Linked DNA regions of Canis lupus familiaris. Each later gene encodes a partner of the first gene's protein in a complex. Links are inferred from orthologs where the notes say so. Each region holds a gene or a part of one and is shown on either strand. Other genes may lie near its edges. The genes, in order: CACNA2D1 and CACNA1E.

The links.
Region 2: the proteins of CACNA2D1 (region 1) and CACNA1E are in contact, whole or in part, in a cryo-EM structure (PDB 8EPM), measured with the Homo sapiens proteins. The link is inferred for Canis lupus familiaris from reciprocal best matches to the Homo sapiens genes CACNA2D1 and CACNA1E. Residues at the interface, in NP_001353796.1 of Homo sapiens: Thr170, Asp171, Tyr173, Ile233, Leu235, Ser261, Gly262, Ser263, Ser265, Gly266, Leu267, Lys270, Ala327, Lys328, Gly329, Ile330, Thr331, Glu366, Gln391, Asn393, Tyr394, Ile416, Gly417; in NP_001192222.1 of Homo sapiens: Gln110, Leu112, Pro113, Glu114, Asp115, Asp116, Lys117, Pro119, Arg122, Asn630, Phe631, Asn632, Asp633, Gly634, Ile1330, Gly1331, Asn1332, Val1334, His1336, Met1341, Val1343, Arg1346, Arg1393, Ser1394.

What each region holds. Positions count from the first base shown.
Region 1 is NC_049239.1:21,857,182-21,860,994, reverse strand, and holds part of CACNA2D1 (voltage-dependent calcium channel subunit alpha-2/delta-1), read left to right. Parts: intron 1-708; coding exon 709-764; intron 765-1,184; coding exon 1,185-1,314; intron 1,315-3,725; coding exon 3,726-3,813. UniProt on the Homo sapiens protein: The alpha-2/delta subunit of voltage-dependent calcium channels regulates calcium current density and activation/inactivation kinetics of the calcium channel. Plays an important role in excitation-contraction coupling.
Region 2 is NC_049228.1:14,761,289-14,765,552, forward strand, and holds the start of CACNA1E (voltage-dependent R-type calcium channel subunit alpha-1E), read left to right. Parts: upstream 1-1,232; 5' UTR 1,233-1,266; coding exon 1,267-1,370; intron 1,371-4,264. UniProt on the Homo sapiens protein: Voltage-sensitive calcium channels (VSCC) mediate the entry of calcium ions into excitable cells.

The DNA.
Region 1 (3,813 bases):
ACTCAGGTTTTCTAAATCTCCTAGTAATCCTGAATATGTGATTGCCTTGATTCTATTTACTGGCCAGAATCTACCTCTTTCTCATCACTTTTTTTTTTCTTTTAAACTAAGTTCAGTTCCAGATGATTCTATACTATTCTATAGTATTTGGCTCAATTGTCATTTACTATAAAGCAGAAATGTACCATATGCCCTATGTATATTATAGTTGATGAATGTCACATTATGTATTTACAAGTATATTCTATATTGTCAAGTAAATAGTTTAAAAACCCACAGCACAAAATTGTTTTTGTTTGATCTTTTGTTGTTTTCCACCTTGGAGTTTTAAAACTAAAACAAGGAGCAATCCTGAATGTGAAACTTATGCTGTGAAATACAATTACCACTCCTCCATGATCACATTTGTTATGAGGCCTCTTTACACCTAAGCACCTCTTTCTTGGTCCTGAACATTTCTGACTTCATCACTTCTTTCACAGAAACAAATCTACAGTGTTTTGAATTTAGAAGCATCATGTGCTGAAATGGACCTAATTATATAAAATAAAACTGCTCCTTAACTTTCTATTGTCAGATTATCAATTTTTTCCAAACAGATGAAAAGAAATGTATGTGTACATACAAAATTATTCAGTTTTTTAATTGTACAGCTTATAAAGGAAATATTTATATTTTTATCAATAATTATTCATATTTACAACTTAGGTCTATTCTACAGCAGTTTCTCCTGAGTTTGACCTTTCCACGACTTCTTGAAGCAGGTATGTGAACACTCAGCTGTTTTTATAATTAAAATTTTGTTTTGGGATGTACTGAGTTCATCCAACTCAGAGAAAGTATATGTATTTGTGTATATGAGAGAGAGAGAGAGAGAGAGAGCGCCCATCCATTCAATAGTTTCAAAGATTGGAATCTTTTTGTCATGACTTTCCTAATGCTTTGACAATTTTTTTCTTTTTTAATGTCATTGGCCTCTATTTTGTAACCTCCTATTTATTTTTTTCTCTTGATATTTATTGGGCACTATTAGGGGCTGCCCCTAGATTACCCAGCGATAAATAAGCCCCACAGGGTGCCTGCCCTTATACACTTGGTGTGCTGAGAAATGAAGGCTCTGGGCACTGACTATAGTGTCCCCTCCTGGTGACCTGCGTCCTTTTTTTTTTTTTTTTTTTCCACAGTTGAGATGGAAGAAGAGGACTTTACAGCCTCTCTGTCAAAGCAGAGTTGCATTACCGAACAAACCCAGTATTTCTTCGATAATGATAGTAAATCATTCAGTGGTGTGTTAGACTGTGGAAACTGCTCCAGGTAATCTGTGTCTTCCTTTTAGGAAGAATCCTTTGTCACTAAGAAATTGGATTCGCTTTTATAATCATTACAGAGAGTAATGGAGATTGTTGTTCCAGATCTTTAGTTTCACTGTAGGCTTTAAAAATTTACATTTTTTAGACTTTATCCTGTCTGGATAAGTTGTAATCCTTTCAACTATCAATAATAGGATCAGGAAAATTGTACCTACTTTTAGCCAAAACATAAAGAAATCTGGTAATATAATACATTTTTGTCTAAAAGAATCCCTTAGGGGATCCCTGGGTGGCTCAGCGGTTTAGTGCCTCCCTTTGGCCCAGGATGTGATCCTGGAGACCGGGGATCAAGTCCCACGTCCGGGCTCCCTGCATGGAGCCTGCTTCTCCCTCTGCCTGCGTCTCTGCTTCTCCCCCCGCTCCCCCCGGTCTATCATAAATAAATAAATCTTTAAAAAAATAAATAAAAAATAAAAGAATCCCTTAAAAATTTTTGCTAAGGTCATAGAATTTTATGAACTATAATAAACTTAGAATTAATTATAGTACTTCTATGTAATTCTAAGCCAAATATATGATTTCTATTTACATTTATTTACTAAATAGGTTTAAGAAAGATATTCTGGGGGTGAGGAGTTTTATTTCAACCTTTCACTGAAATTTACAATTGGATGTATCTGAATTGAAATCAAGAACTAGGGATCCCTGGGTGGTGCAGCGGTTTGGTGCCTGCCTTTGGCCCAGGGCGCGATGCTGGAGACCTGGGATCGAATCCCACATCGGGCTCCCAGTGCATGGAGCCTGCTTCTCCCTCTGCCTGTGTCTCTGCCTCTCTCTCTCTGTGACTATCATAAAAAAAATAAATAAATAAAAAATAAAAAAATTAAAAAAAAGAAATCAAGAACTAAGAGAAAATATTACTTCCTAAAAATTATTAGTAGGCATAAAACATCTTGAACAGTTTTTTAAAGAGATTGAGAATTCAGTTTCATTGTGGGGGATAGAAGATAAAGGCAAGGTGGGATTTTTTTAAAGTTTTGAGAGAGACTGATCCTCCCTGTCACAGGATCCCTGATAATGGAGCAGAGAGGCACAGATTTGGGACAACTGTTTCTAGCAACCGAGGGCAGGTTATTCTAGAAGCAGTGTTAACTTAGAAAAGAGGAAATAGGAGGAGGTAAGGTCATCTGAGCATGTGAAAGGGCTGGAATAGTTGCTAAGCGATCTAGACATTTCTAACAGAGAAATGTTTTGCAGAAGCAGTTAGCTGAAACTAGCATGAATTTTTAACCAATATGGTCGGTCAGTAGGACTTTTCTGATTTACTTTAGCACACCTCTGTGTCCTAGGAGGTGGTTGGGGTAGGAAGAGAAGAGTCAGGCATCAACTCAGAAAAAGCATTGCATCTTGTGTAGAACTTAGACTATGAGGCTATCAACTTTAGGGAGCAGAATCGTAACACCTGTGATGGTATCTCAAAACTTCAGAATCCTTTGGCCTTTGACTAATAGGTGTCGGTAACAGCAATCTGTGCTTTAAAAACTAAATAACATTGCAGCGTACCGATTTGTAATCAGGATATGAAGCTCAGTCACGGTGGCTTTTGATTCACTTCATCCTTGTGCCCCAGGTTCAGTGGAGAAAAAGGAAATTCAATTTTTTGGGGAAAATGTATACTCATAAAGAAGTGACTCTCTAATGACAGACTAACATTTTTATTTTAAGAAGCCACTTAAGACATGGAAGAAGAAGAAAAAAAAACAAACACTCAATGGAATTGAAAGCCCTTCAAAGCCCTGTCTCTGTGTCGTCCAGGTTAGAAGTTACAGCCCCGAGAAGCTATTTCAATGATCAGTTATAATTAATATTACATTTTATGCCTGAGTCCCATTAGTCACCTTTCAGGAGCTTGGTAGCCTCAGGAGGCTGCTGTTAACCATGCTGGGCAAAACAGAAAACCTTTCCATCTCTACGACGTTGGTCAACAGCACTGATCTATATTTACTCTGCTCTTAGGCAGGATGCTTAGACTCTTCAGGCTTCTAATATTTTCATCTGTAGAATAAGATAATTTTTCAGTAATAAGTACCACACTTCCTTAAGCATATCAAATCAAACATTTATTCTAGGAGTTTCAGCAACTCAGTCATACTTATTTTGCATTGAGGACTAACACTTAAATTTTCTAGTATTTGGGAGAGGTAACGTGCATGCTGATGAGTCAAACATGGTCATGTTTCTCTTCTAAAATTCATTCTCATTTTGTTTTACTATTTATATTGGTGATGTTTTGTGTTTCAAGAGGTCAGATTTTTTTCTTTCATTTTAATATGTAAAATTGGAGGATTTTTGTTTCTTTCCCCCCCAAAAGAGAATGTCCATTTTCTCTCATTTTTAAAAATATTTGTTTTGCAGAATCTTTCACGTAGAAAAACTTATGAACACCAATTTAATATTTATTATGGTTGAGAGCAAAGGGACTTGTCCCTGTGACACACGACTG
Region 2 (4,264 bases), on another chromosome or scaffold:
TCCAGCTCCCAGATGGGCTTTGGTGCCCCTACTGTAAGCTCACACAGCAATGGGGCCTACCTCAATCACAGCCTATCGTGTTGCATGGTCAGAACTGATGCTTTTCCTGTTTCTCCCATGAGGAGGATGTGGACTGAATCCAGCGCATTGCAGTGTACCCCGTGCCTGGCACAGTGCCTGGCACATGGTAAGCTCTCAGTATTGACTGAATGAGTGTGTCTTTCACAGGGAAATCTGGCCACATCCTCCTTGGCATGGAAAAGGAAATGAGGCTCAAGGACGCTAGCAGAGGCACCTGATTCCACACTTGTTTCCCAGATCCTGCGCTGGATGCATGCATTAGGAAAGGAGGAAGGGGCCTATACAGGGGTCCCAGTTCTCAAAGATAGGCAGCCTGTGGCTGATCCTGGGGAGAGAGTGCGAGAATCAGGGCAGCAGGTGGTGGGTGGCATTTCTCCAGAGGAGTCAGGACACTGAGGAATGGGTAAGATTCTTTCACCCGAATGGGAGAAAACTGGGAGAGAACAGCCAGCTAAGGTGTCTGCGGCTGGGGCCCAGAAAGATAGCCTTTGGAGTTCTCCTCTCCTTGTAGCGGTACCCGGGGCCATTCATGACGTTGCATCTAATCATTTGTTTAACCTCTGTCTTCTGCACTGGACTGTGAAGTTCATGGGGCAAAAATCAAGTCTATTTTACCTAACTTACCTCTGGATACTCAGCACTTGGCGCTCAGCCTGGTCCACAGCGGATGCTCCTGAGCTCAGCGATCATTTGCGGGGTGCCTGCTGTGAGCCAGCTTCTGGGCCGGACCTGGGACCTGGGACCTGGGACGGAGCTGTGGGGCAGCCCCAAGCTTTGACGTCATTAACCTCTTGCTTTTCTCTCTTTCTCTCGTGCTCCCCTCCCCCACCCCGCGCAGAGCAATGTTCTGGGATGGTGCCCGAGATGCGTGGACCGAGCCCAGGCCGCAGGCTGCCCGAGCCCGCCCCCTGCCCCGCCGCGGCCGGGAGCCCTGAGCCCTGGGCCGCGGGCCGCCGCCGCCACGTCCTGGCCCTGCCTGAGGAGGAGGCATGGAGGCCCCAGCAGTGCTCCCTGCTCGAGGCCGACGCCTCGGACGAGGTGGGCATGCTGCCGGCCTCCCCGCGCGCCGCCGCCTCCGGCGTCGACAACTTCTTCCCGGTGCAGGAGGGCGAGGGCGCGGGCTGGGAGGGCGGTGCGGCCCTGGACGCCGGCGCCGGCCCCTTCCTCCCGGTGAGCCCCGAGGTGATGAAGCGGCGGCGCGGGGGCCTCATCGAGCAGCGCGACATCATCAAGGCCCACGAGGCGCACAAGATGCAGAGCACCCCACAGGCGCGGCGCAAGGAGTGGGAGTGAGTACGGGAAGGCGGCCCGCGGGCGCCCGGGGCGGGGAGGGTGGCCCGGGGGTCGGTGCCTTTGTCGCTGCTGCCGCTCAAGAGGCGCTTGACCCCTCGAACGAGGCCCCTGCGGTGAGCCGGGACCTCGCCAACCAGCTGTAGGCTGCGTCCCACCGCCCTGAGGCCTACCTCCATCAAAAGGCCGCAACCCGCCTTCCCCTCCAAAGCATCCGTAGTTTACTAAGACCTGGGGAAGGAGCTGTGGTCTGTCTGTTCCACACTCTGAGCCTCCCTGGAAAGAGGGGTTCTGTAAAACCATGGAGAAGCCACCAAAACACGAATCATCAGCCTCATCTTAATTCTGGAATTGTAGCTAAACGTACGCTTGCTAATGTCATCCTTGGGGTGATGATTACATTTTGGGGGCAAGTCTTCAGTGGTGGAAGAGCTCATGGCCCCCATAGCTTTATGTCTGATCCTTTAGGGTAGAGCAATCTGTCTTAGACTGCCTTTAACTCAATTCACGCCTATGGAGAAGTTGCGCCTTATTCCAGTGTCCTACGTTAAAGGAAGAGCATATTGCATCTGATTCTCATTTGGTGCTCCACGTGTATACCCCACCTAGGGGCTTTGTTTCATATTTTTGGATGTCAGTGTATGTTCTGCATGTTTGCATGTCTTGTGGTCTGTATGTCTTTAGGTTGTTGAGTTGTTGGATGTCATTAAGTGCAAAAAGACTAATAATAGATGTTTTTTTTATGGCGGTGGTTATGGTAGAGTTTACCTCTCTGGCCTCATTAGACATTCTGGGTGGTGCAAAGTGGGGTGGATTAGCTGATCTCTGGAGGTCTTTTCCTATGGATGTCACAATGTTTACTGGTTCGTCATCCATCCATTCATTCATTCATTCATTCAGCGGGCCCTGATGTGTGCCAGGCTCCTGGGATTCAGAGAGGAGTCAGGCATCTGGCAATCAACCTTCTCTCCTGTTGTTCGTGTCCAAGTACTGTTAGTCTTTAAAATCCTACATAGCTCTAAAAGCCAGGCAACATCCTAAGCACCCATATTAACTTATGTTAATCCTTAACAGAAGTTATGAGGTAGATACAGTTATTATCCAGATTTAACCAGTGAGGCACAGAGAAGATAGGTGACTTTCCCAAAGTCATTCCAATAATAACTATGTTGTTACTGTGATTTGATGATTTGGACTCTGGCAGTCTGGTTCTAGAATCCATGCTTCTATTCACAATGGCACAGTGCCTTTCTTTCCAATTCTCACAGTACTTAAAGTCTATCTCAACCACCAATTGAGATGCCATGACAAGAGCACTGGCTTAGAGGTTGAGACATTTGGGTCTAATTCCCAGGGTGATCTAAATAGTGGTATGATGTTGAATCTAGTTAGTGGTATGACATTGAATAAGTCACCTCATGGCTTCAAAAAATGAGGAGGTGTCCATTTGAATATCACATGGCTCCGATAGTATTTCTTTGTATTCAGAAGTACTGTATTTCTCTGCACCTCCGTCTTGTTTTCCTGAGAGGATTCTGAACAACTCCAGGCCAGAGACTATCTTACACATTTTTCGTGTCACTCAGTGCCTGTCATATGGCCTAACTCAAGAATTCCTACAACACTCACTGAAAAACTAGCTTCACCATGACAAGCAATGCATACGTAACTCTTTATCTTTCTCTAAGTTAAACTTTTGCTAGTTGGGAGGTATAAAAGTCTAGTAGCAGCGACCTACTAGGAGTCATGGTGGGGTTGGTTGAGAGACTATGCTTTCACCTAGGAAGGTCCACGAGGAGGTGAAACAGAGCAGATACATCAGTGGCTGGGTGGTGGGGGAGGGGTTGTCAGCTTTCCTGAGTGTGGTTGTGGAAGAATTAAGGAGGAGATACCAGGGAAGTAGGAAGAAAGCCATAGTGTGGGGTACCTGGGTGGCTCAGTTGGTTAAGCATCTGCCTTTGGCTCAGGTCATGATTTCAGGGTCCTGGGATCGAGCCCATGTCTGGCTCCTTGCTCAGCAGAAAGTTGTTTCTCCCTCTGCCTCTCCCTCCACTCATGGTGTGCTCTCTCTCTCTCTCTCTCTCTCTCTAATAAATAATTAAGATCTTAAAAAAGAGAAAGCCAGAGAGTGAAGAGACAAAGAAGTAAAGAGAAGGTATCTGTTCAGAAGGAAGGAGTCATCTTCTATAGAAGAGGTTTTTGAGAGGTCAAATAAAATGAGGATGGAGAAGGGATCACTGATTTCAGCAATATGGAGGTGACCTTAAAGGTTGCAGTTCAGTAGGATTATGGGGCCAGGCCCCAATTGGAATGGGTGAAGAGAAAATGAGAGGTGATAGAGACAATGCTGCCCCACTGCCTGCCTCTTAATGCTCACAGCCTTATCACTGCAGCCCTTATGGAGACCTCCATGGTTAATAACGTCATGCCTTTTTCCTTGCCCATCTAAACTCCATCCTCATATGGCTCTACATGCCTTAATCAGACCCACTTCCTGCTCCTTGCTAGCTCCCAAACCCTAATATTTTACTGTCTGGAACTCTTGTTCCATCATCAGAAAAATCCTCTACGTTTTTCTAACCTTCTCGGACATTCCCTTCATGTCCTTGGTACCGTGCATCTCCCCCAAGAGCATGGCTTGATCGGCAGCTGCCTTATATGGTAGCCGCCTTCCCTCCCAAACTTCCTCACACTCTTGAGCCTGAAGCTGGGGTAGGTGTCTCCTCATTATTGCTTCTGGACCATTATTCCTCATGCCTGTTCTAAAATAGCAACTTTGGAGCTTATGGCATCATGCAATAGCACCTGCTGCTTCTTTTTGTAGCTATCTGCAGACTCCTAGGCCAGTCCTCTTTATTCCAGAAGACTTTAGCTCTTGGTTTATTGCCTGTCT